2 linked regions of the Lonchura striata genome follow. The protein of the gene in region 2 interacts with the protein of the main gene of each other region in a pairwise test. Links are inferred from orthologs where the notes say so. Each region holds a gene or a part of one and is shown on either strand. Other genes may lie near its edges. The genes, in order: ubiquitin-conjugating enzyme E2 E2 and ZNRF1.

What was found.
Region 1: the proteins of ZNRF1 (region 2) and ubiquitin-conjugating enzyme E2 E2 interact in a two-hybrid assay, tested with the Homo sapiens proteins (2 studies listed by BioGRID and IntAct). The link is inferred for Lonchura striata from reciprocal best matches to the Homo sapiens genes ZNRF1 and UBE2E2.

The regions. Positions count from the first base shown.
Region 1 is NC_134603.1:119,105,626-119,121,717, forward strand, and holds the start of ubiquitin-conjugating enzyme E2 E2, read right to left. Parts: upstream 6,652-16,092; 5' UTR 6,363-6,651; intron 1,722-6,362; exon of another isoform or gene 1,717-1,721; 5' UTR 1,709-1,716; coding exon 1,533-1,708; intron 1-1,532.
Region 2 is NC_134615.1:15,814,471-15,831,103, reverse strand, and holds the start of ZNRF1 (E3 ubiquitin-protein ligase ZNRF1), read left to right. Parts: upstream 1-9,788; 5' UTR 9,789-9,820; coding exon 9,821-10,265; exon of another isoform or gene 10,266-10,282; intron 10,283-16,633. Other genes in the region: GATOR2 complex protein WDR59, read right to left, coding at 2,942-3,077, 4,658-4,707, 8,864-8,917. UniProt on the Homo sapiens protein: E3 ubiquitin-protein ligase that plays a role in different processes including cell differentiation, receptor recycling or regulation of inflammation. Mediates the ubiquitination of AKT1 and GLUL, thereby playing a role in neuron cells differentiation.

The sequences.
Region 1 (16,092 bases), on a different chromosome or scaffold from region 2:
ATCATTACACCAGGCATTGTACAAAGTTCAGAATACACAGACTGCTTTCTAAAGATGCTTGAAACTGTTTTTATGACCTTGAAATTCATATCTAATCCAATATTCCTAATATTTTAAAAATAATAATAGCAGGAAGCAGACAAAAGAGAAGACCAGAAACCATTATGGCTGTGAGGATTAACTACATGAATAATATCATGATTTGTAGTGAAAGTTGGGTGGGGTTCTTTGCCCTTCTTGTCGTAAAAGGAAACATGGGCAAGTTTTGCTGGCCATTCTGGGGCAAGTTTTGCTGGCCATTCTGTAAGTGATATGACCAGGTAATTTCCTAATAGTGACATAGTAGGAATGTGTGTCCAGAAAGTATTTCTCCATGGAATTAAAAATGAAGAAAAACTAGCTGTAAGAAAGGAATCTACAGCAGAAGAAAAGCATGACATAGCTGTACCTCATTGGAAAGACAAAGATACTTTAGTATCTTTATTAAAGTATCTAAAGATACTTTAGAAAAGTACTTTAGATACTTTAGAAACTTTCCCTGTCTAATTGATTAGGGACAGATTAAGGCAAAACAAAGACTTGAATCCTGACTAGATATACACACATGTTTATATAGTATTACATACAGATTCTGACTACATGCATACGTTATAAATTATGGCAGAAGGGGCTTGATGCTTCTCCTTTACCACAGTGGTACAATTTCAGTGTTTTCTCTTGTAGTTTACACTGCCTTGGACTAGCAGAGAAATGAGATCTGGGAATTCTGCATCAGGACAGTCTGCAGAATTGGTCTCTTGTCAGATTATTTTATGAGTGCTTTTTAACTTCAATCACTATAATCCCACTTGCCCAGAGTAACAACCTTACATGTACTAGCAAAGAAACACTAAACTGTAAATTCCTTCTGTCTGGTCCAAGCAAGACAACCGTTATCTGGAGATGGACATGATAGCATAGAATAAGTTAAACAGCTATTGTACAAACCAACCTTTCATCTCAGTCAGAAAAGGGAGGGAAAATAAATGGATATTAAAACAGATCACAGTTTAAAGTAATGAAACCAACATACATTTGTTGTTCACTCAAGTATTTCTGACCTGCTCATCTGGGAAAAGAAAAGGCAGTACTTCATGGCAATAGGTATTACGGTAGTCCTAACATGCTGAGTTACAGAACTGTCTGAAATGTTTATGGCTAATTAACTGTAAGTTACACTGACAAGTTTCAACATCAGTCATACATACATATACAGAGATATATTTTATAAGGCTACAAAACTGTCTGAGTTTTATTAGCAATAAAAAAATGTCAGCTTTTATCATGCAAGCAACTATTAAAACCATGTGAAAGAGGCAAACGGACAAAGAAAGGGAAAAGTATACAGGTCTCATTATTGTGACCAGTCTCAAAAGGTTATTACACTGATACAGTAGTGTTATAATAAAACAATCAGAAAATTAATATACTGAGTCAATACATGGATCTGATGACCAGCTGAAAGAAAGAAACAGTCAGGAAGAACACCGTACCTTTTAGCGCTAGTTGACAATTTAGCAGCTGTTTTGCTTGATATTTTCCCCTCTTTTTTCTTTGGTTGAACTTGCTCCCTTTCTTGTTCCTGCTGAGCACCTTCACGCTGATCTCCATCAGAGCTACCTCCACTAGTGCTTGGGCTATCATCCACTCTCTGCCCCTCTGTAGACATGGCAGATGCTGCACTGAACAAAGACAAACAACTGAAGTTAGTTTTTTGAGGAGCAACTGCCTCATTGTATTTCTTACATGCTTAAGGAAAGAACACATGGGATATATGTCTCTGTCCTAACAAAATAATGTTTATATCACAGTAGTTCAATAATCCTCATACTGAAGAGTTTTTGCCACAAACATCTTAACAATAATTCAGGAACTGGCAATTTTAAACCCTATACCACTGCCACCCCCCCAAAAATCCCAACCAACCCACAAACAAATAATACAAACAAACACACAAACCAATCCCCCTGCCAAACTCTTCACAAACACATATATATATGTATGAAAACCAGAAGTTACTGAAGTTAAGTGGGAAACATAATCCTGAAAGTGTAAAACCATTCACTGTGAATTATGTTTTTCAACCACTCAGCAGTGGCATGAGTTAGCTGTCCCATCAACTATGCCACCAGTTCATATCTACCACAGCTAGCTAAAAACGGAGAGTTATTAGTATCTTAGGACTCTCTGTTATCCCATATGAAATAAATTTGTGGGCTCATTCCAAGTGTACAATGTGGGTTTCCACATTACAAAATCCACATCTTGGCATGCTTGATGGAAACACAGAACTAAAAAGCTTTAACACAGGACTGTTTGTATTTACTAAAATAGTGAGCACATTGGTAGAGGATATAACAAAGTTTTTCCTGACATTTCATTCAGGCAACATGAGGCAACAAACTTGTCAGAGAATATGAGCCGTAAGAAATCTCAGCATATTTCAGAAGTCAAGTTGATGCTTTATTTGCACACTTCTGATACTAGTTAGCTATTTTAATTTCTTCCTTCATTTTAAATAGTATAACAATACGCCAACAGATGAGGAATTACAAGCCCGCTGTTACAGCTGTCATGACATCTCAAACTCTCAAACTGTTCTAATGAAGGGCAGATGTCCATGAAAAACTCTTACTGAATTAGCATATCTGGTGGCACTAACTGATTAAAAAAAAAAAAACCAAAACAAACAAACAAACAAACAAAAAAAAAAAAAAAAAAAAAAAACAAAAAAAAAAACCCAAAAACCTAAACCAACAAAGCCAAAACCAAATTAAAACCAAAGTGAAACCCAGGTCTTTCCTTTAACACCAAATCTGTACCTTATACACCTGTGTTACATATCCTTCTCTAGAGATTTTTAATAAAAAGTAGACAGGCCCAAATGTTAACTTGCTTACACCCACACAATCCCTGTATATCTGGGTGGTTTTCTGATCAAATCTGTCTGAACTAAGAATTTGCTCTTTCATACACAAAGAGTTTCAAATTGCTGTGAACTTCGACTCGCTTTTCCTCTTACCTATGTACAGACATCATCACAATTAAGAACAAACCTATTCACCTTGACTATTATGTGTTTTAAGACTCGCTCAAGGGAGAATAATGAGATTTCAGGCTCAGATTCAACCATGCTTGTTCTATGTATTAAACAAAGTTCATCTCCCTGTACATATTTATGGAAAGAGACAGCAAAGGAAAAGTAAATTAATATCAATGCTAATAGGGTTATGTTGAAAAGGATGCTTTTTAAAAAGGCCTAAGTGTTCTTGTTACAAAATAGAAATAAATTTACTCCTATACTAAAAAACCTTGCCAAGATCTAATTCTATCAAATAATACACACTATGGAGCAGAAGAAATAATCTCTTCAGGCATTATTGACACATCCAACTAACTTCAGGAGGAATTAGGTCTTTTTCATCTATCTTGTGAAGCTATACTGAAAAAGAATTCTGGAAGTATGGCACCCCTTCAAAATGTTTATGCATTAAAAGAAACAGCAAGCAATACCAAGTGATGAATATGTGACTAAAGTTTCCCTTCATCGCTTAAGCTGCATTTTTGATTTTATAACAGAAAATAGTATTTTTGCATCTAAATATATATAAACACACAAGACCTAACCTGCTCATTAAAGTAACTGAAATAATCTAGAATTTCTGCCCTAAAATTAAAACATAAGAATTGTCCACTCCTAGAGAACAATTTCTCCTACAGTACAGCTGTAACAATACATTTAACATAGTCCATAAATTTACGCAGACTGATGTTCAGATATTTAAATCCTATTGTGTGATTTCAAGGTAAAGCAGCAGAATGCTTAGAGGTAATAAACAACAAAAGTGTCACATTCTGACAAGTCAAAATATGCAACTTTAATGCAATTTTGGTAGTAAGTACCCATTTTCCTGACTTCTACATAAACCTCATCTCTTTTTATAACACTTATGTTGGCCTTTATTTGCCCTAGATTTTACTTCTGACCTTGCTTAATACATCTAATTTTAAAGAGAAAATTTCTCTCTTCACAATGTACATAGGCTTCAACACTGCAGGCCAGAAAGTTAAAAGCATATTTAATAATACTTATATGCATAGGACATCTGCTATGAATAATCTTGGCTACAAATATTACTATTATCCAAAAAACAACTGTATTCACTTCCTAAGTTCAGGTTACTATCCAGCAGATAAATACTGTAACAGTAGCCCAGAGCATATAATTACTGTAACATGTAACACCAGCATTTACAAGAGGAAAATGTTTAAATCTGTCATTTGATGTCTGGCTAGTTTCTGGCAGGGGTGGGGGGGAGATTTGGGTTTTGGATGTTTTTTTCCCCCCTTTCTCCTTCTGTCTCTGTTCCCCCTTCTGACATCCAGGCAATTATTTCTATTCACTCTCCTCAAAATACCTGCAATTTTAGGGAGTTTTGCTCAAAGGATGCTCAAAATTGCATTAAAACCATGCTTTAAGGGGCCTGAAATTAAACATTTCTAATGGGGTCAAACTTAAAAGACACATAAACATATGACCAAGTAAGAGACTGGGGTAAAAAAAGTCAACTGAGAGGATGACACTGTGAAGAAAACATTTCACTGCCACCAACACAGACAGAAATACAAGATAATCCTTGAATCTGAAGAGCCATAAGTGTGTTTGCAACTGTCACACAGGGCAAGAGGAAAGACACACGATGTCCAGGTTCCTGGCTGCCAGGCTATTCTACATTCAGACAAGGGTTGCTAACCTCCCTGCTGTTGTGCAGAGAAAAATGAGCAGAGGGGACAGAGGAAGGAATGAAAGGGGACTTAAAAGTCTCTCCCTTAACGTGAGATGAATCAGCACCGAGACAGATTACAAGTGTAACTACAACTATCAATTCAAAGTGAAGGGCATCCAAAATATTTTGCTTTTGTCAAATATATCCACGGGCACCTTCCCTTTCCTCCTCAAACTAAAAAAAAAAAAAAAAAAAAAAACAACAATAAAAACAGACAAACCAACAACAATAACAAACCAACAATAAAAACAAACAAACCAAAAACAACAACAAAAAAGAAAAGACAAAAATACCCCAAACCACCAGTCATTATCAGATATCACACGCCAGGAAAAAAAAAAAAAAATCCACCAGTCGGGAACAGCAAGATCCTGGCAACGTGCAGATGGGTCCCAAGGGCGGCAGAGCTAGTGATGATGTCTTTCTAAAGCGCTCGTAATTTCCTATAAGCCAAGATAAATTGAGTATTTCTGCAGGGTCCACCACGAGCAGCAATGGCAGCAGCCGCCTTACTTCATCTTCATTAGAAACCATAAAGGGCAAGACCACAGCATCGCGGGACGGGAGGCAGAAAGAGCCCGGTGTGTTCGCCGCTGAGAAGGGCACCCGGAAGGATGGGATGGGACAGGACGGCAGCTCCGGGCTCCCACGGCCGCGCGTGGGCACGGGAGCGACTCTCCCGTCGGGAATCCCCCGCCGTAGGCAGCGGGTGGGGGCCGCGAGCATCCCCAGAACCACGCACCCCCCGCACTCCCACGGCCGCGCGGGCGGCGGCCGGGCTAGGGTGAGAAGTAGGAGACAACCGAGGAGAGGAGGAGGAGGAGACTGCGAGAGGAAGACGTCGGGGGCACATGCGAGAAGGGAGAGGGCTGGGCTGCGGGGCTCCTTGGGGCGCGGGGGTGGGGGGGGTAGTGCCCTTCCCGGGGGGCTCCAGCCCGGGGTGCCCACCGCTGCGGCGGGGGGCGTGGGGGTAGCGCATCCCAGGAGGCTCGATCGTGGTGGGGGGCAGGGGGTACCCCGGCCCCCCAGGGGCGCAGAGAGTGCCGCGGGGACCATGCGGAGCGGGGCCGGAGGGGTGGTGGGGAGCGGGGGTGGTCGCCGCTCCCGCCCGCAGCAGGGCGAGCAGGACAAATGGACACGGAAGAGTTGCTGAAAGGGTGTGGGGGTGCTGAGGAGCAATGGAGGCTGGATGGAGCCTGGGGGAGCGAGGAGCGCCTCCAGAGATGCCGAGGTGGCCGGGGGCGGCGGGGGGGGCGGCCGGGACGGTTGCTAGGAAAGGGCACAGCCGAGGATGACAAGGGGGGCAAGGGGGTACCAGGCAGCACCAGGGGGATGCGGAGAAGGGAGGGAAGATGAAGGATAAAGGTAGAGACCGAGGATCGCAGATAAATGCGGGGGAGAGGGTGCTGCCGTGGGGGAGGGATGGCGAGCGACATGGGGGTAGGAGCCCGGCGGGGGGAGGGGAGGAGGACGGGGAGCTCAGGCGGGGCAGAGGTAGGTGTACCCCGGCAGAGACGGGGGGGAAGCCGCTGCTACCTGCAGGCGAGCGCAGGTCTCTCTCTCGCTGGTGCCGGGCACAGGCTGCGGGACAATCCGTCGCGGGCGCCCCGACTCCGGCCGGGCGCGGGGCTGGAAAGGGGCTGCAGCCGCTCAGTGAGTCATGAGCCCGCTGCCCCGCGCTCCTCGCTCTCGGCTTCCTCTCCCCTTTGCCGTCTCTCCCGAGCAGCAGCGACGGCCGCGGCTGCTTCTCCCTCCGCCGCCGCTCCTGCCCCCGCTGCCCGGAGAGAAGTGAAGCCGCTGCCGCGCGCGCGCGCGCACCCCCGCCGCCGCCTCCGCGCGCGCGCGCGCCCCCACCCGTCCGCCCGGCGCCGCGCGCGCGCGCGCCCGCCAGCCAATTATTCCGGGCGCTCGCGGGCCGCCGAGGGAGGGGCGGGAGGGCGGGGGCGCGCGCGGCCTCGGCGGGGGAGCGGGGGGGGAAGTGACGGGATGGGCGCGCGGGCGGGCGCGCGTCCGCGGGGGCCGGCGGAGGCCGCGCGCCGCCGGGCAGGGGGGAGGGGCAAGAGGCGGCGGCGGGAGCGCGCGTTAAAGGGAAGCACCGGGGGCTGGGCGGGGTCAGCGGGGCAGAGGAAGAAGGAGGAGGAGGCGGCGGGAGGGGATGGGGTGAGCCGGGACCTTTGGCCAGGGATTCGGGGGGGATGGAGGTGAGGGTACCCGGCCTTTTTCCCTGCCGCCGCCGGGCTGCCGTGGGCCCCCACGCGAAAGTCCGGGAGGTGGAAGGGGCAGGCCGGGACAGGGCAGGGAGCGGCGGAGGCCGGCATCAACTTTCTCGGCTCTTCTCGTCTTTTTCGGCTCCTTTGTTCCCCTCGGCCCCCTCCGCCGCCCCCTCCCCGGTCCCGGCGGCCCGCAGCTCCCCAGCGCCTTTGTCTCGGCGGAGCCGGAGGGAGCCGCCGGCGGGACGCGGCGCTGCCCCGGGCGGGGAGCGGCGCGGTACCTGGGGAGGGGCGGTGCGGGGCACGCGGTGCCTCGGCCGGCCTGCGGGAGGGCCCGGGCCTCGGCACTTGGTGGCCACACTCTGTGTTACCGCGCTAGTTTTGTCCGCCGTGGCATCAGCACAGCCCGGGGCACAAACCGCCCCGGGCCGCCGGCGGCCCCGGTGACGTGCGGTATCCCGGCTGGAGATAGGCGCTGTCGCCCGATTGTGGCCAGGTAAATGAACCTCACCTCCCACGCAGGCGGGCATTGCCTCTGTGGAAAGCATCGCGGTCAGGAATGGGAGAGGCCAAGGCAGAGCCGCACTTAAATGTTAGTTGTTTAGTGCGAATATTAACCTGGAACAAAACAAACCTCCAGCAGAACTGATTGTCAGGTAACCCGGACTGCGCTGGGCGAGTGAGACACTTCTGTCCCTGTGCCGACCCTGCTGCTTTAATCTTTACATAATATGCTTAGGTATGTTATGTAAACTATCACCTCAAACCTTTCTTCCTTAAACAGGGAAATCTACCAGCCAAGGGTAAAGAGGTATTGCCAAGTCAAAATGTTTTCCCTTTTTTAATAACTGCTATAGATAAAAAATTAATCCAGCCGAATTAAAAATAAAAATTGATTTTATTTAGCAATTGAAATCTGTCTGAGCCAGCCACAAAGAAACGGACAGTGCCGAGCCCGGGATCGGCGCTGGGTCAGACAGCTGGGAAGTGGTGCTGACCGCTACAGCAGAGGATCCCCCTATGTTTCGCACCACCTGTTCTGTGCGAGCAACTTTTATATGGTTTATTTTGCTCGAGGCCAGGATTTCAGTGATCAGCCTTTTCTTTCCATTCAAAGTCCCACATATTCATAAAGTCTCTTTTCTCTATGCTGAGTTGAACAATTCGGTGTCCAGGAAGGGAACATGGTATTGAGATGTATCCTTTTGGGTGGTTCCAGTGATTGCAGTCTTGGGTTGTTGTTGGGACCATCATCACTCGGGATTTCCTGGATTACGTTGAGAAACAACCCATCTCCAGATGAACTACATGTATTAACTTGTAATGAGGTCTTATCAGAGACAGATTCAACATATGTGAGGCAAACCCCCTAGTACCGGCTGGTATGCTTTTTTAAATAATACAAAACATTACATCATTATCATTCTACAGGCACAAATTATCTATGTTACACATAACAACAACTAAAGGGGATTAAAAAAATAAAATGTGTTCTCACCATTCCACATGTAGGAGGAAAAGTTTTTCCCTGCTTGAACTGCGAAGCGTTGTATTTTTATTGACTTATGCTTGAGGTGTAGGTGGAGCCTGTGCCACCAAACATACAGAAGTTGAGAACTTGAAGCATTACTGAGATATATTAGGGTTAGAAACATCATTGATACCTGCTCTCGTATTATATCCAGATAACTGAAGTGATTTCTGCAGTTACCCTGAACATCAACAATTTTCTTTGTTGAGAAATTGTTTTTAAATTATTTGGTTTATTTCCTCTTCCTATTTCTTTGCTAAATAATCCCAGTGTTATTTTCACCTAAACCTAAAAATACCACAGTCAGCTAGTTCTTCCTATTCCGTGTGCATTTACAAGATATTTTCTTGCTTGTGATGGAGAAAAGCTCCTAATGTCATCTAGGTGGGTTTCTATCTGCTAAGCATACATTGACTTCTCGGAAGAATTAATAATTAAGTAATTAATAGAATATGAAGTGCAAAAGTCCTTCAAAAAATGCAAACCTCCAGCAAGTAATGTTACTCATTGTGCTGAAAGGTGCATTGTACACTTTTGACATCATGGTTCCCTTTTCTAAAATCACTTAAACCATGCTTTCTCCTTTCAGTCATTTGAAAACAGACCCCCTGAAAGCTATCCAGGAAGTGATAAAATTCAATTCTAAATGATTCTTCTAACCATACTTCCTTAATGTTGCTCTGATGGCTTAAGGGTGCCTTAAAAGGAGGCATACATTGATCTGTCTTAACTCCTCAGCCCATCTCAGGAGGTCTCTCTTTGGTGGCAGTTCATGGTGCTTCATTACAGATCTTTTCTGCTAGGATTTGCAGGAAGCACAGAGAGAAAAGCTGAGTGAATAGCCTAATTGAGACAGGGGCAGGATGGGGCCATACAGTGTCCCAGAATCTGGGTCATAATTTCCCAATGCCAAAATAATCAAGGGAGCGCTGGAGTGTTTGAGCACCGAGTGAGAGGTTTGAGTCATCACGAGTCAGGCCCTGATTTCTTCTTTTGGTGTTTGACCTCTGGCCCAGAGCCCTGAATGGTAGGGCTTAATTTAAGGACAACTAAACTAGGCAGGTTTGTACTGCCTTATGAATAGAAAATACACACTGAGGTGTGCCCTGTTTTAAAAGCAGAGGTTTTGAATGAGCCCTACCTATGTAGTGTAAAGAGAGTAGGGCAGGGTAGTCAGCTGCTCCCGCTTTTATCCTTTTGACCTTTCAAAATAACGTGTTTTGCCCTCAGATGTTAAAGGTGGCATAATATTGCTCAAAATCTTTTGAAGACTTTTCTAAATTTGGATTCTATAGGTTGAATTCTGGCCCTTTTGAAGTGAGTGGCAATACTTCAGTGTTAGATTTCACCCATGCTGGAGTGCTAAGGCACACAGTTACACTTTTTTTTTTTTTCCCTCCATGTTTGGCTTTGTCTGGTTTCTAAAAGCTGACACTATTTACACCACCAGACACATCTAAAGCAAGCAACATGAGTTCTTTACTCTCATAGAGACTGGGAGCTTCCTTGTGGAGACACGCCAGAGTTCATCTCACCTAGCACAGGCAGTCATGCTTTAAAACTATTATGGTTAAGGACACTTTTGTTAAGGGTTCTTGATTTGAGTGTCTGTTACAAGGGCAGATATGTCAGTCAAAATCTATGAAGTTGGAGAAACCTGAGCAAAGTTTCCATTTAGAAGTGTTTAATTTAAAGAAGTAATAGATCTATTTAAATTTTTCAGGTTTTTAAACTTTTTTTTGCTATACTGAGAGCTGTACTCAGTTACAGTGAGTCTTATCCATTTCTGTTTAGTTAAAAAAACAGGGAAATATCGTTCCATGTCAAGAAAAGAAATAGGAAAATGCAACTTTTGAGTTTTTTCTGCATTTCTATTTATGCATTACTGTTCATTCCCATTTAAAAGGACATGTTTTTATATCACTGTTAAAGTCATTGAATGAACGCTATTGTCAAGTAGTAACTAGAAAAAAGGGTTTGATTTTCTAAGGTAGAGAAAAGATGAGAAATCATCTCAGCTGTGGTATAGGTGAAGACATAACTATCTCTCTTGTGACAGCATATCTCTCTTTCAAAACTTTATTATTTTATATTAAAAAGTGAGATGATAATATTAACTTGTCCATGATGTGTCTGATTGTTACATCAATCTTTTTCAGCCAAGTCCTAATGAGCCAGTTTGTTTAATCCATCTGAACTATTATCAGCAGAAGTTTGGAGGAATGGGGACAAAGGTGCCTTTATTCATTTCTTACCTGATTCCAGCTCCAGCTGTTGAAGCCTGTGTTGTTCCCCCCATCCCTCCCCTGCTAGGAGTTGGGCCCTGTGGGGCTGTTTGGATAGTGGACAGCAGGCAGCTCTCAGCAGCAGGTCCTCTCTTTCCCAGTCTGGTTCTCCATCCTGAGCACAGAATGAGGAGTTTCTGCAGTAGCTTCATGCTGTTCCAGGATTCTTCTCCCATAGCTGGTTTTCCTTAAACTACTATGATGACATAAATCTGTGAGGACCATTCAGAGGATCTAGCCTGTTGTCTATTTTTCCCTCTTTGGTAATTCTCTTTCTCCTATTTGTAGATAGTTTATTCTCACACTATATCTATTTTTTTTTTTTTCTACAATTGTACTTTGCTTTTGTTGCTGCATGGATGAATCCTACTCTGTCTGTTGGCAAATGTAAACTGAAATTCACAGGTACCCTGATCTCTGAAGTGCCAGCTGTGTTTGAAAATGCAGTTTCTGAGTGATTCAGAGATAAGGATTCTTCTTTTTGTTTCTCTTCTATCAGCGTGTAGAATAAAGTGGCATAGCAAGGAAGATATCTGCAGCAGAAATTTACTTAAGAGTTTTCAGTTAATTGTGTATGTCCTCATCATATAAAAAATGGCATCCTATATCAAGGAAAACATTGATTGAATCCTGAAAACTAAGTAAGCCTATTGTTCAAACAATGCCTTGACAGAAGTCTGTTTAAATTATTTTCATGGCATTCTGAAGTAAAATGATTGTGTGAACACAGAGGCAAGTTACTGCTAGCCTGACTTCTTTATTTGCTCTACAATACTGCAAACCCCCAAATCATTAGCATTTATTCACTCTAATATTTCCAGGCCATTAAATACAAAAGGAGTTGTAAGTTGTGTGGCAAACAGCTTTTAAGGTCTCTTTCATTCCAGCCTAAAAAACGAAGAATTTGCAGCTCCTCCTCCCCTTTGCTCAGAAGCAGAACAGCTCCCACTATCATTCGGCTGGAACCAGAACAAACAACTGAGACAATAACCGTGTGGCATCAGAAATCCTGGTGGCTCTCAGCTGCTTTGCTATCCAGGATTGTAAAGAATAAAGATAAAACATATTAGGAGTGGGTAGGAGGGAGGTAATAACCTGCTTCCGTGTCCTTAATGAAAGCCTGTATTTTTGTTTAAGGTAGGGAGGGAATAAATTAACTGCATAATGTCCTGAACAGAGGTTCGTTTCTATGTGCTGGTTTAGAGCCTCAGTTAGAGCCTAAGTGCAAGTAATTGCATAGGATAATTCTGTGATAGTTTCTACACAGAAATTGTTGACAACTAAATCCTAGACATAGCCACTGCTTTAAAAATCTCATATTGCATGTACTGAAGGGAAAAATCTTTATTTCCAGAGCTATTGTAATGCACTGACCTGTAACTGGAAGAATTCCCTGCATTGCCTGTCTTAATTCATCACCATATGTGGGAGAGAATGTTGAAAAGTGAAGATAGGTTAGAAAAGAAAATTGGGGTGTTTTAGTTGTTACTTCCACACTCTCTTCAGCACCTCCGCGTTCCTATTATTTTCTGTTGGTTTCGTAATATCTTAATTCACAGAATCAGAGCTTGGTTTTCTGATTAAAGATGGGTAAAATTCTGAGGATCTCTTGTGGTTCTGTTGGGAAAGTTACATCTTTACACTGAAAAAGAAGCCGTGGGCACTCATGTTCCCTTTTAATAAAGTTAAGGTTCCAGAAGAATGTGGGCTAATGTTCTCTATGTTTAATGCATTATTAATGCATGCCTAGGGAGTAGGCTCTGCATCCTCCACAGCAAACCAAACCCCATAAGCAGGCTTGTTCAGTCCCTTCAATAAGAGTGACCAAATAAATTTCAGGAACCCAGAGGACCACAATCAATCTGAAGCAGATTGTCTGCCTCGTATACGGTGGAAAATACCCGCATGTTCTCTACCGGGGATTCCCCCAGTGAAGTGGAAGTCCCCTGAACTAATAAGTCAGACTAGTCACATTTTGTACTTGCTTCCTGAAAATCCCAGCCAAAGAGCCTGATCTCTGCTGTAATTGGAAGGGATGAAGGGGAATGTCTGCAGCTTGATAAACCTAAATTATTCCTTCTGCTTTATGGACTCTTATACACAACTGGTGCCAATAAAGCAGCTGCCAGGGCCTAAGTCTGAGGATGAAGAAAAGAAGAAAAAGTCAAATATCTTTAGTCTCATCCTTGGTGGTAACTATGGCAGGGAATAAATGGAATATCTTGCCCATAGGTCTAGGCAGAACCTGGCAAACTTCTGTCTACTCTTCCGTAAGCTACATCTGTAGAACTTCAGGGAGCAGGAATCAAAAGAGCAAGTGCTCATCTTCCTCAACTGCATGAAACAAAGCAAGCAGTGGGTGCAGCAACTTCAGGGTAGGGACATACTCTCTTAATTACCTCAGAACTGTTCCCATGACTGCAAAGTTATGGAGATGCAGTGAAGAGGACACAGGTGAAGCAAACATTTATTTTAGGAAGCCGGAAAGCACAAGACAGGAACACATATCTACTCCCTAAGGAAGCAGACTTTCTTCCTGTGTCCTTACCACGGTTCAGAGCCCTGAGCTGCACAAAAGTGGACTCTCAGATATCTTTATCTTGTCATAATGGGTATTTGAAGGAATTTTGCTTGACGTCATAACTCAGTTGAGAGCCTCTATAGCTGTATTTATTCCTATATTTTAATCCAAGTGAACCCTTATTTAGACCAGCTTTGCATCTTACATAGGCATTTCTACCTTTGCAAAGTGCATGTTTCTTGTGTTTTCCAGGTAATTTGAAAAAGTGGAAAGTAATTAGAGAATCCAGCACAGTTTCTCTTTGTCTCTTTTTCCTGTGTTTGACAAATTTTTGGAACTGGAACTCATAGCATGGCTGAGGACTAGGCCCACCAAGGCAATTTGATATCTGTTGCAATTTCTATCTATTGATGCTGTAAAAGCTAGTGAAGTACACAGTTCTCAGGGAAGGCCACACATTTCAAGGGAGATAGATAAGCAGAGCTAGATATTTAGGGAGAGGAGGTCCTCAAATATTTGGCTGAGTAGTTATCCACTTAACCTAGTCATCAGGAAGTGGCAGGGAGAGATGACAATGACATAGAGTCTTCCACAACTGTGGGTACACACCTCTCATTGGGGCTTTAACTACAGGTACATTAGTTGAGTTCGTTGGATCATGGTGTCAGTGTCACCAATGAGTTAATGATCTCCTCTTTCTAGCCTGCCCAACCTGCTGACAGAGGCATCACTGATAATGTGGGAAGTAGAAATTTAATTCTGTCTGCTGCCTGAAAGGACAAAACCCCTGCAGTTTATAACTCATAATTGTGTCCTAAACACTACAGCATTTTGGTGCTTGGCTTATTTGTTATCTCTCATTGTGTCTCTTCTCTCTAAAATGTACCTACATCTTCACTGGGTTGGAACGGAAAACGTGAGATGCCTAACAAACAGGCTAAAAGTCATTCTCTATCTTTTGATCTTTCACTCTTTTAATATTTAATGATCCCGTTCAAAATGGAACAGCATTAGCAAGAGAGATTGGAAGTCCCCTGTCCCCTTCCCACACCACTGCATGTTTTGAAGGTAGCAATATGAGATTAAGAGTCCCTCCAGGAAAACAAGTGTCTTTTGCTTGTGTCTCTGACATCCACAGTCAAAGCTCTAACCACTTCACATTTTGTAGAGGTACTTCTTCCCGTGCTTTGGTGAAAATGGGAATGCTTGCTCTGCTGGGACAACATCTGCAGGCAAAATTACAGGATCTTTAGCTTGTGAATCATGGTTGTTGGGATCACAAATAGGTGTTAAATTGCTTGATGACAACAAGGCTGGCTTTCTACTCTTGAGATCAAAGGTATGACTTATTTAAACCGAGGAAACACCACAATCCACCACTAACTGGAAAAATACATTAAAATAACTAATTGTGTGTTACTGATTCAAACATGCCCTGCAATTGTGTGCTGATGCACTAGTGAGGTTTTCAAGTATCCAGTTCAGACAAAGTGGGACAAACAGATGGGTGAATGATCAGTCTCAATGAAGACATTTTTGTTTGAAATTCCTTCTAATACAGTGCGCTATGCTCTGTCCTGGATACTGGGAACCTCCCTTGGGATGAAGCTGACAGTCCTAGGAATCTCACATGGACCACATGGCAGGGTGGGGAATCCCCAGGGAAGGCTGAATAAGGAGAATTGGGCTGGCAGGTGCCCTGATGCTATGTCAGTAAAACCACTTTCAACAGCCATGTATTTCTGCTAAGAGCACTTTATTTTTTGTGGACACATGAGGAGTATGATTCTGAGCATAACATTTCTAATTTTTTTTAATTTAGTTTCTATATATTATGTATACATAAATCCTGTTTTCCTGAGAAGAATTATTATCTTTAAAAAAAAGAATAACGTTCTCGGGAAAATGCAGAAATCAGTCACTCCCAGGAATGCCCACTAATTCAGCTAGATTATTATTATATTCCACAATCAGCCAGCCAGGGTTTATTATTCCTTTGAGACAATGGGAGATATAATTTGGTTTTGGAAGGGATTCAATAATAGCTTTTCCCTCCTGCATGTCACAGCTTGGATTGCACTGTGTTACCGGACCAAAGTTCCCGGTGGCGGGGGATGCCAGCTAAATGGCTTGCTGTGCTACATCTCTCTTGAGGTGAAATGCCATGGAAGCTCTGAGCTGCACAGCTGCCTCGGCATCTGCTCACAGAGCCCACAGATCTGAAACAATGGACCAGAAATTGGATGGTAATTTAAATATAATGGTCTGCCCATTACTGGTAATTAAAAATCCATTGGTAACAGCCCAGAAGGTAAGGGAGGCATGTGAATCAGACACAGGTTTCCTCTCACCTGGGTGAACTAGGATAGACTAAGAGACCAGTGTACTTTTTTTCATGTGGACCTACTGCAAACTCCTTGAAAATAAATGGAAACATTTCTATTGCCATTAATGGACTTTGGATAAAATCCTAATTGCCACTATAAAACCCTCTTTAGTGTTGCCATACATTATTTGCCGTGTATGTATTTTAATAAAACGGTCCTAAATGTACCATAGGGAATGTGCTCCTTAAAACCTGTCTCTGTTTTGAAAGTCTAACAAGGGCACGCTTTCTGACAGGAGACTTCAGCTTTACTCTATTTCTGAAGGAAGGCTTAAAGCGCTCTTTAATTTTATAGAGAAAATAGAAAACTGTGCCATGAGCATTTTCTTTATT
Region 2 (16,633 bases):
GGCTGCAAGGACTTTCAAAAGCTTACACTTTAATTACACCCACTTAAAACTTGAGATAAACTAGAAAGGGAGGAAAAAAATCCCACACTGCAAATTTTTTCCATGAAATTATGTTCTCAGAGTCTTTATTTCCTAACAACATGCTGTAACTGCAGGCAACAGGCAGACAAATTCTCTCTGCAGGAATACCCTGTCAGTCTGTCGAACTCACAAGTGGAGGTTTTGGTGAGGGGGATGATGGATTACCACTGGTTATCCTCAGCTCTCTCTCAGTTCCCTTCTGGGATAATCAGGGCCATTGCCAAACACAAACAATACAGTCTAATGGCTTCAAGGACACCTCCTCAAGGGTACTCCCCCAATCCTTGCCAGCCCAGGAGAAAAGCTCTAAGTGTTTATCACTACCTGTAAAAAACAATGGCAAATCAGATGTATCAATGACAACTTTGGTCAGGGTTCTTTCACTCATTCCAGGAATAAAACCTTGCCCAAATGCAGCCACATGCAAAGTTACTTGAAACTAGTTATTGTGCTGTAAATTCATGTTCTGTCTCAATCAAGGTTCACTTCAGGCCAGGCCAAGTCTAATTTTTCTGGGACTGGAATTGCCTTTGTGGGTGCATGCAGAGTGCCAAGCACAGTTGATCATGACTGGAAATTCTTGCAGATTTTGCAAAACCTGAAAGAACATGACCTTAAAATATTTTCATTAGCCCCTTGTTTTCAGACTTTTAGGTAGATGAGGCAAAAGATAAGAGACTTCGCAGAAACACACAGTTGTTGAGGTTGGAAGAGACCTCTAAAAGCACTGAGTCCAACTGTTACATTACAATTTTTGTGGCAGTTATTTTTTGTGGTGGTGAATTTTCTTCCTACCCCAAAGCTGCTTCGTGTGAATTTCAACTTGCAGATAGATAAAACATTACAGTTTTCTTTGAAATAAAAGGTCTCATCCCAGCTCAGCAATAATATATGACATTTCTCTAACTGCTCTCACAGCAGGGCTGCACAATAGCTTAGGGCAAAAAAAAACTGCTTGCATGTTTCCCATTGACAGAAGTATTTAAAGGGTAGATTGAAATTACCCAATGGGATTTACCCAGGACTCCAGAGACAAGACACAAGATAATGATCACCAGAGAGACTGCTCCTCCCAACAGGAGCATTTTCTAAAAAAACTGTGATTTTCGTTAAGTATCAGTATTCACTTCCAACAATTTAATCACCCTCTTCAAGAATCTGAAAAGAAAAAACAAGGATCTAGGATTGAAAACAACACCATTTCTGAAACAACAGTTTAGGAGTCCCCAAAAATGTGCTTGAACCACAGGGCAGACACAGCCAAGCATAGCAAAAGAACTTGCTCAAGCTCTTTTGGAAAGAAGCTAAACACAAGGACAGATTCCTCTCTGCCTGTACCACTTCCAATTAACAGAAGATGCTGCTGGCAAACAGGATGGCAGCCTTTTATATCCTTTTTCCATCCACAGGGATGCAGAAGGGGAAGACCCTTGGGCTGTTTACAACACAGTGAAATGGCTTGAAAGGTGGTATTTTTGATCCAAACTGAAAAAGCCGCCTGATCTCATCTTGGGGATTCCTCAACCAGTGTGTGTCAGCAACTATGTTTAAATCTTCATTGTATCTTTGTTTATAAATAGAAGCAGCAAGGTTTGATGCCAGCTACACCGCGTTTCAATGTGGAACAACTGTTCCACACTGAATCCATTCAGAGCAGCAAGAGGCAGGAGTGCTCAGATGGGTGAGATGGGCACAGCTCCCTTTTGCAGCAGGATCCTGCTCAGATCAGCATGAACTCATCACTGGATATTGTCTTCAGAGTGTGTTTGAAAATAAGCTTTTCTGCTCCACTTGTGGCCTGCCCAGTGCACTTCCTTACTTGGTTTTGGTTTCTACAGACTGTACCCCGAAGTGGCAATGAAGGACACCTTTTTGCCAGTTTTACTAACTCTCTGCTCAGAAGCAGACTGTTGCTGAAGGCACCTTTAAGACATCAGTCATGTGTCAGAGCTGAAAAGTGACAGGCTGGGGAATGTCAGAGAGCAAACAGGGTCCCAGCTGACAGCACCAGTCCACTTTTAAAACTGCCTTTAATTAAAAACAGCAAATCCAGGAAGCAAAAGGAACAAAAATCCTAAGAAATCACCTCCAACTAGGTGTTTCTCAAAAGAATAGATGGAGAGATTTCTCCATCCCTAGCTAATCCAGGACTCTCAGGTTATAAAAGCAGACAGCACAGCAGAAAAGGCAGCTCACTCTGGAAACAGTCTGCACCTGGCTGGTGCCAGTTGCCACGGTGCTGTGGGTGATGGCCGAGATTTCCATTGGCAGAGCTCAGAGCCTGGGGTGAACAAGCTGCAGAGCATGACAGACCAAGTACAGAGCAGAGCTGAAAACTGCACTCAGTCTCACACAGCTATTACTGCTTCTTCAGCCCAACCCACTGCCTCATGGAACTCCTCACTCATACAGTCCATACCCAGCTGCAAACCCCAAGCTACAAGCCAGTATTGACCTGTGCTATTTACAGACTGCCTGGTGCACCACAGCCAAGCAGCAAGGTAGGGAGGTGAAAACAAAACAGCAAAGAGCAAGAAATTCAAGAAGTGCACAAATCTCAGACTAGAAATCAGAAAGAGAGCACTTCCCTCCAGAAAAGAACCATGTGGATGCTTGATTTATTTGGCAAAGCATTTTGTAAATGACAAGCAAGCAAAACTAGATGCAACTAATAACTGAGAGCCATCCAGCAGAACACCTCGCTGGCAGTAAATCAGAGTTAGGCCTTGATCTTGCAATGTGACTTGCAGAAGTATGTCTGTGCCAGCTCCACACAGCCTTCCAGCTCTGCAGAGGCTCACCCATGAAAGAAAGACCAGGGAAAACGATGAGTTACAGCTTTTAAAACGAGTGAACTTACTGAAGCTGCAAAGTAGTAGGCGTAGCTGTCATGGGGGTTCCACTGCACCGCCCCAATGTCCCACTTGCTCTGCCGGGAGATCTTCCGGTGACCCTCGTTTGGTGCATCCAGGTTGACGATGTAGAGGAAACGGCGGCTGCAAGACACACAGACACAAAGGGGCTGCGTCTCACAGGACTGACCTCAAAACCCCAAGCTCACACGGAGATTACAGCCTTGTGTCTAGAGGCACAAGAAGCGAAAATGAAGCATTTCATGAGACAAGTGAAAACACTATACCTGAAAATAGTGACTACATTCGACTACCTACTTCAAAATATACTTAAAAAAAACCCACGACCCCCCAACAAAGACAAGACACGCTGAAAATAAACAGGATCTGCAAATGTCAGATACCTTACACCGCAGAAAAACCCAGACAACTTGGATACAAAAGGAAGCTCTGGAAAATGGTGCAAACACATTCAAACAGGCTTTGCAGGCCTAATGCTGCAGCAGTAGAGCCTAAGTGGCACATGCTTGGGAGTGCAATTCAACAGCTTCAGCCTGAATAGGTTGCTCTGAGCAAGAGTTAATGAGCCTTGACAAAGATTCTACGTGGGTGCTTCTTTCCACACCAGTCTGAGGGCTTGGTTCCACCAACAGTACAGAAACACCTGCACAGAGCTCATGTTCAGCTGCAGCAGTTTGTTAACGTGGGTGGACACAGTCCTGCACAGATTTGGTTCCATTACTTACCTGAGCTAACTCTATTTGCAGCAGAAATAATTCTGCGTGGTGGCAAACCTGAGCTTATACATCATGCTGGATGTGGCCAACTCCCCACAAAGCAAGGTATCATTCTGTGTGATTCATCTTACAAGCAAGAGAAACTGCCCAGAAATAATTGTGAGCTAGCTGAACCCTATGGAGGACCAGCATCAAAACATAATGAACCCTACATAATTACCCACATGAGCATCATCTCTCAGCTGCAAAGTGACCATACAGCTGCTCTGAGCACTGGCCATTCCTCCTGTTACTCCTGTGCAGCACTGCCAGACTAAGGGTTGACATGGAAGCAAGCACTGCTTCAACCTGTACCAAAGGCCTCGGTTCCTTGAAGGCTGACCACAGATCAGCTACACTCACAAGATTCTGAAATGAACATCTTAATTGGTGTGTCAATTGTGTCACTGACAGGGGGACAGGAATAGCTGTTAGTACTGAAAAGCATGAGCTGGAAAGGCACCGATGAGCTGGTTGAAGACTTGTTCTGGAGGTGGATACATAAGACCACACTCTCCCAGAAACTTGGGCAACTTGGAAGTCTGTGGCACCTACTGTGTCTGTGAGTATCATCCCACACTGAACCAGCAGAGAAGCAGGTCAGACAGCCCCGTGGGAATATTTGACACAAGTTTTGTTAGGAAATAATCTAATTGTATTTCAAGACAATCCAAATAGTACTTCATGATGCTCCATCTCCTATATGGGGATTTGGGAAGGAATTTACCAAGAAAGCCACACCAGTGTTTTATTGTGCTCTTGTTGCTGTCTCAAATCTGTATCCCATAGGGAACATGACCCAGAATCAGTTTCATTAAACCTTGAACAGAATGCAGCTGCACCTTTCTGAAACAATCCATCAACCCTCCAGCTAAGGTCAGCCTAAAGGCTGCTGGTCTGGCTTGTGGAAATGACTGTCACACTTCCAACAGGGACTGTCACACTCACCCCGAGAGCACAGCACGCTGTCCCAGGCAATCCACTGACATCGCAGTCGCCTGTTCAAGAGAAACACAGAACAAAATTAAATCATACCTGTCAGAGCAGCTGCTCAGTCAAACAAATGGCTCTAGGGAGGAGTTCAGGAAAGTAACATCCCCTTAAAGTAGCACAGAGGGGCAGCGGGTGTAGTGATTGATTCTGGGATGCAGGACAGCACACAGAAACATCTCTTAGCATCAACTGAAAACAAAACCTGGCAGACAACATCATGAGCACTAAGACCTTGCTCCCTTCTCCCTGCCATGGCAATCACAGCTGCAGCCTTTCCATCAGCAATCTCTAATAATCTGTATTAATCAGCCTCTGCTCCTGCTCAGGAGCTTTCTCAGTCTCTTTCATTGCAGGGACAGATTTCATTATATATGTACTGGGAGACAGAAGTGCAACCATTTGTGTATGGCTGGTCTCCAAAAAGGAGAGGTGGCCAAGAGGCATCAGAATTGACTTGACATTGCTTGTAAAGAAGGCTATGAGATAACTTAAAGGACATTAGGAAAAAAAAAAAATAAAAGGACTGTTTGGATATTGTCTCACCCTCTTTTTGTGCAGAATGAACTGATCTTGTTTAAATGCCAAGAGAATAAAGGAAGACTTTACTTGGAAAGCTGAACAGTTCAGCCCATAAACATAGATATGACTGCAATAGAGTTTTGAGCATTCACAGTGCAAAAATGAGAATATGCCCCACATTCTTCACACTAACTGCTGTCATCTTCAAAGCCACCTCTCTGAAGGCTCAGGATGTTATCTCCTGCTGCTGTTCAGGATTTTAAGTGCTCTCAGCATGGATGTAACAAGACTTCAGGATGTCCCACAGTTACTACTTACAAGCATTACTAAAACCTGACAGACAACACAGAACTACCACACCATTTCAGTCAGATCTGACAGATCCATCACAAATTCTGAGCTTTTTCAGCCAGGGCCCATCCCCTCCTTGCAAATACCCCAAGTGAGGGTAAAACAGCATCAAGGACCCATTCTTCTCTAGAGACCACATGTCAAACAGCTACTGCTGCCTGCAGAGCTTCTGCAGGAGCTCATGGTAAACCAAACCCTATTTCTCCACTTTTACTGTTCCAGGAACAGCTCCCTTTCATTACTTTTTCCCTAGGCAGCAAATCCAATCTTCTAGCAAGGTCTCCCCAGTCCTAAAGCTAATGTTGTAAATAAACAGCTAGTTTTAAGATCTCTAAATGATAAGGAAATAATTCCAGCTTTCTAGACTCCACAGCACCTTGCAAAACACAGAATAAAACCTGCAAAAAGTAGGTTACTGAATCTATAGTAAAAAAAAACCCAAAAAACAAAAAACAACTAACCAAACAAAACAAATTATCTGAAGAAAGAAATTTGCCCAGATGGTACACATTTTTCTTCTGAGAAATTAAAATGCAGATCACTAAAGCCACTACAATAATCAGAGTTTCTCATGTGATAAAGAGCTCGTCAGGAGAAATATTTCATACAGTTGGAGCCATCTTTCTCAAGACAGAAAAAAAAAAAGATTGATAATTTCCTATACAAGTTTATTTTTTCTAGTCTTAGCACCAGGATCTCCTAAGTCCTTACAAATTGTTTTCAATAATGAACACTGGTAAACTGTTTCTTCCAGGCACCAAGCATCATAAAATAATCAGAATGATGTAAAAAGTTTCACATGTCAGGCTGCTACTCTGATGGGTCACAAATTAAGTTGTTTTACAGCAACAAACAGTTCCCCATGATACAAGAGCCTTATCTAGGCACAGGAAAAAAAAACAAACTGCTGTCATTTAATGCACTTGGTATAGTGATATGTCAGTCTTCACAGCACAACTTTCCAGAAGGGGGGAGTTGAAACTGAACAAACCAACCCGAAAGCAGTTTTTGTCCTAAAACAACACTGTGGATAGCTAAAACTGCTGTTCATGAAAAACAATGACATCAGTAAGCACAGCAGGAGCACTACACGTTTGAGAACCTGCTCTGAACCCACAGTCCAGGCAGCATCTTCTCAGACTTTGAGCATCTACTTTTGCATTTTGCTTGATTTCTGCCAGGCAAGCCAAGGGAAACTCCTTTTCATGTCTGAACTTTCATTAGTTTTCAAATTAGCTTCATTCTCTCCACCTGAGAGGCAACACACCAACCCAATTTGACATAGCTATGGTGGTGTTTTTCAAGAGCTGCAAACTCTTAACAAGCAATACCAATTCCCTGCATACCTAACCTCCCATCCACACGAAGTTGGTACAAATGGTTCCATTTCAGCACTGGGTGAGTTTTGGTCTCCTTTTGATAGTGCAAACAGCCCAAGAAGAGCCTGTGGATCCTGTTCAAATCAATACACAGAGTGCTACCTCTGTCAGCTTGTACAGAAAAATGACACTTGTAGGTACCACAGGCCTCAAAACACACAGTGATTTTCTGATGTGCTACAGGTTGGGTGCTGTAGCTTTCGCATGACACACTCTAGCATGGTGAACAAAGACAACTGCAGGGCTCCCAGAGGTGTACTGGCTATAAATGTAACACCTGCCCACTCTTTTGATTCTTGTTTCCATTTAAGTTGTTCTTAGGGTAGAGATTTTGGAGATAGTGTGGCCTACACACAGAGCTCAAGACTGGTACTGGATGATTTCAGCCAAGGTGCTCCAAATTCTCAAGCTCAGGCTTCCCACCTGCAAAAATGTTTTTGCAGACTGCTTAAAAATAAGCTCAGACACAAATATATAAATGAGTTTAGCCTGAAGCAGCAGCCTGGCAGCCCAAGCCACAGCAGCGCTCTGGTTTCATATGGGATAGCAGGCAGGTCAGAACAGCTCCAGGAAGATCACACCAGAGTAAAGCAAAGTGACTGAAACCCCCAGGCTCACCCTCTGCCAAGGCTTGTGCCAGTGCAGGAATGACACTGAAACCAACTGCTGCAGCATGGGGTGGCAACACCTGTCCCTTCTGCTCCCACACAGCAGACATTATGAGTAAGCAATAAAGTCATGAGGCCTCCTGTCTTCTGAGCCAGATGCAACATGAATCTGTGATGTAGGAAGATGTACCCTCATATCTCATTACTGGTTTCCTGAGGACAAATCCTCAGTAGCAGACAAGGCTGCTTTAATGCTTCTGGGAGGAAAACTAATACAAAGCTTTTGAGGCACAAAAGTGAAAAGCTTTGTGAGCTTACATAGGGTAGGCTGGATGCAGAACACAGGATTCAAATCTTCTGTTTGCAATGGAGAAGGCAGAGCCCTTACTGCTCCAGCACAAGAAGACAAATGAGACAAAACAGCTTCCAGACCTATTTTTTTTAATCTTTCTGGCTTTCCTGCTGAAGTATCTCATAGTTCCCCCACTGTATCTAGTTTTGTTAAGCTATTGCCAACACCATAAGACCCTCACATTTCTTAGAACATAATCATAGAATCCTAGAATGCCTTGGGTTGGAAGGGACATTAAATATAATTTTGCTCCAAATCCCTCTCACGGACAGGAACACCTTCACTAGGCTGCTTCAAGCCCTGTCCAGCCTAGCCATGAACACTTCCAAGAATGTAAGAACAACTTCTACAACAGCATGTGAGCAAACAAACTCTGAGCGGAGTTCTACTATCACCATCAGCTTCAAAAACAAAAGCCGACCTTTTTACCATTTACAAAAAAAAAAAAAAAATACAAGCCACTTTTTATTTTAATCAACAACACTCAGCAATTTATTTGTCAGTGAGACAGCAGTAACAGTCTCCGTGAAAAGTGACAGAAGCATAGACCGGTTTGGGTTGGAAGAGACCTTAAAGCTCCTCTCATTCGAACCCCCTGCCACACGCAGGCATCTTTCACCAGCCCAGGCTGCTCAGGGCCCCATCCGCGCTGGCCTTGAGCTCCTCCAGCAAAAGGAAATGAGGAAAGACGTGTGGGAAGTGGCAATATCGTATGTTAGGCCTGAAAGTGCATTTTAAAAAAATACAAGACCTAATTAAGATTAGAAATTAAGTGTCCCGTGAATTAAGGCGTTATCTCCGCGCAAACGACTCCGGACCGCCTCAGCCCCGAAAGGCCCCGCGGGGCCGCCGCGCCCTCCCGGGCCGGGACCTCCCCCCGCTCCGCTCGTCACGGGCCGGCAGGGGGCTGCCCCCGCGGCGCGGTGCTGCGGCAGCCCCCGGGCCCTCCGACCTGGGCGTCGCGGAACTCCACCACCACATTCTCGCTGCTCCAGCGCGCCGCCATCTTGGGCCGCCTCGGCGGAGCCTGCGCCGCGCCTGCGCATTGCGGCGCGCTGTGCGGGGACTGCTGGGAGATGTAGTCCCGCCGCTCACCACCCCCCCCCCCCCCCACCTCCCCCGGCCCGGTGAACACGGGCAGCGAGTCCCGTGGAGCCGGTGGGGGTCCCACGGCCCGAGGGGGGAGTCCCCGTGCGGGCCCGGCCTCTCCGGACGGGCTCTGGCCGCAGAGGCCCGGGGGTGGTCGCAGCCCCGCTATAGAGCAAGATATGTGCGTGGCGTGGGTCGAGGGTTGTGCTCCGCGGGGCAGCACCCGCTCGTCGGTGCGGCGGCGGCTCCGCGTCCCGCGGCGGCGGCGAGCGCAGCGCCGGGCGGCGGCGGCGCAGGGGTTAAGGGCGGCGGGCCGGGGGGGCCGGGGGCGGGAGCATGCGTGCTGCCGGCCGCTATTGTCTCCGGCGCGGCGCCCAGCACCAGGCGGCGGCCGCAGCGAGGCCGTGCCCGGCGCAGCGCAGCGGAGCGGGGCGCGCCGCCCCCGCCGCCCCCGCCGCCCATGGGCCGCAGCTGATCCGCGCCCGGCTCCCGGCCGCGCCCCGGGCACCAGCGAGGCGGGCGGAGCGACCCTGCCGGCGTCCACCCCCCCCTCCCCCGCCGCTCCCTCCCCGCTCCGCGGCCCCGGAGCCCTCGGCGGCCTCCGCCGGGGGTGACGGCGGTGGCGGCGGCGGACTCGGGGCGCCCTCGCCCCTGCGGGCCCGGCGGGGGGAGGATGCCTGGGGCGGGGATGGGTTTTCGCCCGTAGCTCCCCGCGCCCCCCCGCTTCCTTCCGCCCCCTCTCGCCTCCCAGCGGGGGCGGCGCGGCCCCGTTCCCCGCGGGGGGCTGTCGCTCGGCTCCCTCCGGCCCGGCGGTGCCCACATGGGGGGCAAGCAGAGCACGGCGACCCGCTCGCGGGGCCCCTTCCCGGGGGTGTCGACGGATGACAGCGCCGTGCCGCCGCCGGGAGGAGGGGGGGGGCCGCCCCCCTTCGGCCATTACCGGGCGGGCGGCGGCGGCGGCGCGATGGGGCTGCGCAGCCGCTCCGTCAGCTCGGTGGCCGGGATGGGCATGGACCCGGCGGCGGCCGGCGCCGTCCCCTTCGGGCTGTACGCGGCGGCGGCACGGGCGGCGGGGGAGGCCGAGCGGGCCCCGGGCGGCGGCGGCGGCGGTCCGGGCTCCGACTCCACGTACGCCCATGGCAACGGTTTCCAGGAGACGGGAGGCGGTCACCATAGAGACGGGATGCTGTACCTGGGCGCCAGGGCCTCGCTGGCCGACGCGCTGCCCCTTCACATCGCGCCGCGGTGGTTCAGCTCGCACAGCGGTGAGTGCCGGCTCCCCGAAGCCTTCCCTCGGCTTCCCCTCCCTCCGTGGGTGCTCGGGGGCGGCGGTGGGTGCGGTTCAGCCGGGAACGGGGAGCTGACCCCCTCCTGGACCCTCATCCCCATCCCCTCCCTGGCACAGACAAGTGGGTGCATGCTGGAGCTGGCATCTGTGTCAAGGTCAAGGGAGGAAGGGGCTGTGAAGGGAGGAGGCTTTCTAGAAGGGAGGTGTTTTGGCTCTGGGATATGAAGCAGTGGATGTGGCACCCCCACCCCATCTTCCCTTGACTTGGAGGATAGTGGTCTTGAGGGTGCTGTAGCTCAAGACCTTGAGTTTTGCAACCAGGCTGAGCACCCTGTGTCTCTTCTGAAGGTGTGTGAGGGCTGCCAGTCAGTTGTAACAGTTCCCAGCCTTAGAAATTGGGAAAGAATTAGAGAAGGCCTTTGAAAACAAGGTGCGGGGATCTTTTTTTTTTCCATTGTTTTGTCTGTTAAAGGGCCAGGGAAAGGCCAAAGTGGGTTTTCTCTTTCGAGCCAGCTGGCAGTGTTGTGGTGCTTAGGAGGAAGCAGAGGAGGAACTGCCTGCCTCTTTGACAGGGCTGGGGGGCCAGCTGGGCTGTCTTGCAGGAAACGTGTCAGGCTATGGGAAGGGGCAAGGTTGCCCCCTTCACCCTCCTGGCCGGACTCTTCCATGTGTGCTGGTGTCTGGAGAGGAGCTCTTGCTGCAAGCAAGGCTGTGTCACTGACCCAGTTTTGGTTGGGTACAGGGAGCGAGGTGGGAGGTCCTCCCTTCCCCTCCTGGCTGGAGGGGAAGTAATTTCAGAGATGTCTCCTTGTGTTTCCTGGAATAGTCTGGGATTTCTCTCCCACCCGTCCCCCTAGCAAACGCTGTGCTCTCCTTGTGTGACGTGGTCTGGGAATTTCATAATACGCCTTGGGACAATGCCTCATTTTCAGGAAGGCCTGTGACCAAAGCAGTGGGTAAGAACAAAGTGCAAGAAGAGTCTCGTGGGGCCCATTTTCCTACTTCTTGGGGAAAAAAAAAAAAATCTTGGGATTTTTTTCCCTTTGCCCATTCTCCAGGGGCTGCTCTTCTCTGTTAGATGGAAGCTGTGTGTCTTGCATTGCCCCAGGTCTTATTCCTATTGATCTGGATAAGGCAGGCGCTTGCCATCCTCCCTGGCAGATGGAGAGGGCTGGCATGTGGTACCAGAGTTGAGACCAAGTGCTCCTGCAAACTTCCTTGCTCCATGACCTTGCACAGACTGTGCTGCTGCTCTGGTTTCTAAATGTAGAGAGAGATGAAGGCACAGCATCCTTCCAGGTATTCCACAAGCCTCTCTGGGAATGAGGGCCATGGGGGCTTCTGCTGTGCCTGGTGCTGGTGTGGGGAGGGTCTCATTACAGAAACACCCTGCAGCTCACAATGGTTTGTCAGAGAGTATCAGTTACATTTTAAACTTCAATTCTGAGGGGCAAAAACCTGTTCAGAAAAAAAAAAAAAAAAACAGCTGGAAAATGGACAAAATGGAGTAAGCTGTTTTTCAGCCACTTAAGTGAGTTAGTGCAGTGCTGCGAAGTTAAACACGGTGCCCTTGAAAGATTGCAGCGTGAGCTGTGGGAAGTGCTGCAAGAACTGGGTTTCTCTGGTGCCTCTTTTGGGGCCCTCTGAGAGCATTTGAGCTGAGCTGAAGCGTGTGCGGGCAGCAGCGAGAGCTGTTCAGTCTGTACCAAAGCCTCTCCCGGTGGTGGTTCTTTGTTGCTAATTAACAGCAAAAAGGAGTGGAGGATGCTTAAAAACCCTTTTGAAAACTTGTCAGAGCTCATTTAACTTTTGCACTCTTCTTCTCTTAGTGTAAGAAGTTAATGAAGGATTTGGAGACTGCAGGGAAGGGGGGAAGTAAGCCACCGCAAGATTGCTGAAATTCCTGTTAAACTCCCGTTGCAGCTGGTTAACCTCCAGCAGGGCAGTCAGGAGCTGCTTGCGTCTTCCCCCCTGCCTCCCCATCGACCTGCTCCTCTCGTGGTGCTGAGCCACTCCATTAGCCACTGGAAAGTGCTGAAGCAGCAGTGCTCTGGTAAATGGAGAGGAGCTTTGACATTGCTGCGCGTGACTGTCCCTGCTGCCTTTGAAGGATGACTCGAGGGTGGGGATGAGGGGACCTGCCCCTGAGGATGAGGGGCTGAGTGGGTACCAAACCCACTCAGCATGATGCATGGCATCTCTGGGATCTGCCTGAGCTGCTGTACTACTGAGGAGAGGATAAACTCTGTAGATAATGTGGCTGGAGAGTGGATTCTTGCCCTGCCTGTCCCTTTCTGGAGATCTGCATGGTGCCATTCTCTGTGAGTGGGTTGCATTCATGTTTTTCTGGGTTTGGGGGATGAGCTGGGAGCTCAAAGTGCAACCTGATCTCTGTGAGCTACTCAGTGGGACAGCGAGGAGCTCTGACTTGAGGGCAGTGATAAGGTGCTGTTGTTGCAGCAGAGTGCCTGTGATAACAGGAGCACACAGATAGTCTTGGCGCCTCGCTGCTTCCTATATCTGCCATGCAGAGTTTTCTGCCTCTCCAGCCTGCTTCATGGCTCATCAGGCCCCTCAGCAGGGATCCTGAGGAATGAGCTGGGGCAGGCTGAGTTCTCTTCCCTGGTTGGTGTCACTCCTTCCCCTCCCTACAGGTGAAGGCCTGCAGAAGAGCTAGGTGTGCCTGGGGAAGAAGAGAGGAGGATTGTGCTGAGGATTGTACAGAGGGAGGTTGCAAAGTAGTCCCCAAAACCAGTGAATGCTACAGCATCCCTTTAAGGTGCTGTGCATGGGACTGGTCAGTAAGAAGAGCCCACTGCTGAATCCCTCTGGGCTGGACTATGGCTGCTGGGATGCCTAAATTGGAGGAGCAGTTGGATACTGATGGCCTCTAGCCTGTCCCAGGGCGAGCGCAGGAGAGCTGCTGCTCTTGTGAACAGTGAAGCCTATGTATATCTTCCAAATGGGGTGGGCAAGAAGGTCTGATGGTGGAGCTTGTCCCTTCCTTTGAGTGGACAGCACCTCTGTGGATGAGTCCTGTTTCCTGATGGGGATTTTCCCAAGGCATGACTGCCATATACACAAGCAATGTAACTGTTCTGGGATTCCCCTGTCTGCCCAGGGTTTCTGAGATCTATTTCTTGACCTCCATAAGTGGAAAAGACACATCTTGCACAACTTTGGAGTTTGCCTGTAGCACTTGACTCTGCCTCTTCAGTTTTATGACTATTTAGGAGTTCTCAGTAAAGCCAAGGCTGGCGAGAAGAAAGGAGAAAAGGGAGATGTGTAGTTTAGTTCTGCATGTTTCCAGCTTTGTGGGTTCTCTTAGTATCTCTCATGTTATTCATCAGAGGATCTAAGGGAGTTTGCATAGGCTGTAAGTAGCTTAAAGTTTATCTGGAAATCCCACTCATCACCCAAAGCCCTTGAGTGTTTGAAGCTCTAATAAATCCATATCTCCTTGTCTGCTGGCTAGCCCAAGGAAGCGCTTAGCTTATCCTCCTGTGCAGTGCCACCAGGAATGTCACAGGCTTTCTGTGCACTGACAAAGCAAGCTGTTTTTCCTGGATGTTGGTAGTACCAATGTCAGGAGGCCTTTGCCAAATGAGCTGCTGTGTTCTCAGCAAGCTGAGAAGAGGCCTGTCTGTGGTGAACCCTCGCTGTGCTCCGACAGCTTTAAGTCCTGAGCTTTTTCTCACTAGTGCCTGGCAATCCTTGCTCTTCAGATAGTCCTGCCATTGAAGCCTCTACACCAGAATGAGAAGGCTGAATTGTAGCTCGCTAGTCAGCTGCTCTCAGCCCTGGCTGTCCTGACACCAACTTGTCACCAGTGTGTTCTGGCAGCCAAAATGAGCCCACCGTGTCCCATGGTGTATCAGGCACAGCACTGCCAGCTGGTCAGGGGAGGTGATCATCCTGCTCTGCACTGCTGTGGCCTCACTCCGAGTCTGGTGTGCAGATTTAGGTACCACAATACAAGAAGGATATAAAGCTGAGAGAGAGCATCCAGAGGTGGGACGTGAAGATAGTGAAGTGTCTAGAGGGGAAGCCATATGAGGAGCAGCTGAGGTCACTTGGCTTGTTCTACCTGGGGAAGAAACTGAGGACAGAGCTCATTATGGGCTGCAGCTTCCACTGGAGGGTCAGCACCAATCTCTGCTTTCTATGACCAGTGGCAGGATCCAAGGGAGCATCATGGAGCTGTGCTAAGGGAGGTTTACATAGGATGTTGGAAAAGGTTTTTCCCCCAAAGTGTGGGTGGGCACTGGAAAGCTCCCCATAGAGCAGCAAATCTGACAGAGTTCAGAAAGTATTTGTACAAGGCTCTCAGGCACATGGTGTGATTCTTGGGGTTGTCCTGTTCAGGGCCAGGAGTTGGACTTGATGATCCTTGTGGTTCCCTTCCAACTGAATCTCTGTTTCAACATGCAGACAGGCATCATATGTGCTTCCCTCCCCACTTCCAGGAGCTAGGCCAGGGGAAGGGCACCCCAAGGTCTGCATGAACTTGCCATTCTGAATCTATTTTTGCTAGTGGAAATTTCCAAAGATGACTATCCTCAAACCATCTTTTTGTGGGTTTGGTGCTGGTTACTGTCTGACAGCCGGGTCAAGCACCTGCACCACTGCCAGACCTGTGGATCATTTGGGAAGTGGGTACAGAAACGGTCCTGATGACTCCCCACACTGGTGATGTTCAGCTGTTGGGCTCTCCAGGTCTGGAGGTGATGCTTTTCTGCTTCTGCCTTCTCTGAGCCAGCTGCCAGGGCAGCATCCACCTGGGATGGGGGAAGAGGCAGTGGCTACCTCAGAAGAGCAAAGTGCTAAACACCTGAAGATGGGAGACTCAAAGGCAGCTTTAATGCACACCAGAGCTGGAGATGAAGTTTAAGTACGTCGACGTTGGCGTTGTGCGTGAGAAGCCGGCGGTGGCGGCAGTTATCTTCAGTCTCTGCAGCGAGAGCGAGTGCAGGCTGTCTCTGCGCTGCCTTGCCTCCCCAGTGCCCTCTGAAAGCCCGACTGCTTTCCTCAGGAACGAGGGCACTAATTCCTGTGCACATTAACCAGGCTCTCTGCTCTATAAACCTGTGCATAAATCAGCATAGGGTAGCTGGGTGCGCTCTCCCTTTTCCACACATGTGTCTTCTAGAGATGCTGAGAATGATGCTCTCGTGCTTCTGGGCTGACCCACTTCCCAGCCAGGATTGTCTTCCCAGCCTGTGACGTAAGTTTATCCCATGCTGGTTTGTTTTGCTGAGATGTTTGTTCCGGTGACTGGAATAACCGTAAAGGCTTCTCTTATTTATTAATGTGCTATTAAAGCTTCTCTCTCCTCTCTCTCTCGTTCACTGGCCAGAGGATCAATCAGATACAGACATCTTTGGTGGAGGAGCAGTATCAGGTTGGCGCCTGGCCAAGGCAGCTGCACAGAGTCATGGGAAAGTGCTGCTAAACGCTGAAAATTAATTTCAAGAGAAGCGCAGGGAGGGAGAAAAGCCCACTTCGGAGGAGGAGAAAGAAAAGCTTTTTTTCCCCTCCCCTCCAATGTAATATCTCATGTGACAGATCAGACAGGCAGCAAAGGGCTCTTCAGATAAATTCCCTGTGCAAGGACAAGCCTTGTGGTGCCCCAAGCAGATGGTGGGCAACCACGAGGTGCATTTCGTGGCATCTGCTGCTGGTACACCAAAACCCCAGATGTGCTGAGTACTTGGTTTTGAGTAAATGTGAGCTGGCTTTCTCCTGGTTCCCTTGAAAACTGAAATCATAAGGGCTTGGGAATGATGTGCATGAGCAGCCAAGTGATGCTGTAAAGCAGCAGGCCCTGATGCAGAGCACTTTGCCCATCTCCTTTGGCCTGGCTGTACAGTGGGGTACAACAAGCCTCCCTCTGTAGGACACCCTTTTTTTATTTCGGATAGAGCACTACTAGTTAAAACTGGGCCTTAAATGTCCTCCCTGCACTAGTTCCACCAGGCAGGTTTCAAATGCAGGTGAACCCACTGGGGGCTTGAGTACCCCCCCCTCCCCCATGTGTACCCCCCAGCTCCTGCTGTCCCTTGCAGGTGCTGCGTGGCTGAATGCTTTAGCTTAGTGCTTTTTGATGGGAGGTTGTTGGAGGTGCAGCTTCAGGAAGCTCTGCTGCCTGGGGCCTCTTCTCGTGCTGCTGCACAGCATTTCCCGTGGGCAGAGCCCAGCTGTTGGCAGGTTTCCTGCCCTGCTGGGCTGCAGGCAGGGAAGGGGAGTGCCTGTGGTGGGGGACAGGGTCTGCTTCTCTCCTGTCATGGTTTAACTTTTCAGCCCACTGCAGGTCCATACACTCTGGGATTTGAGGAAGGTGGAAGG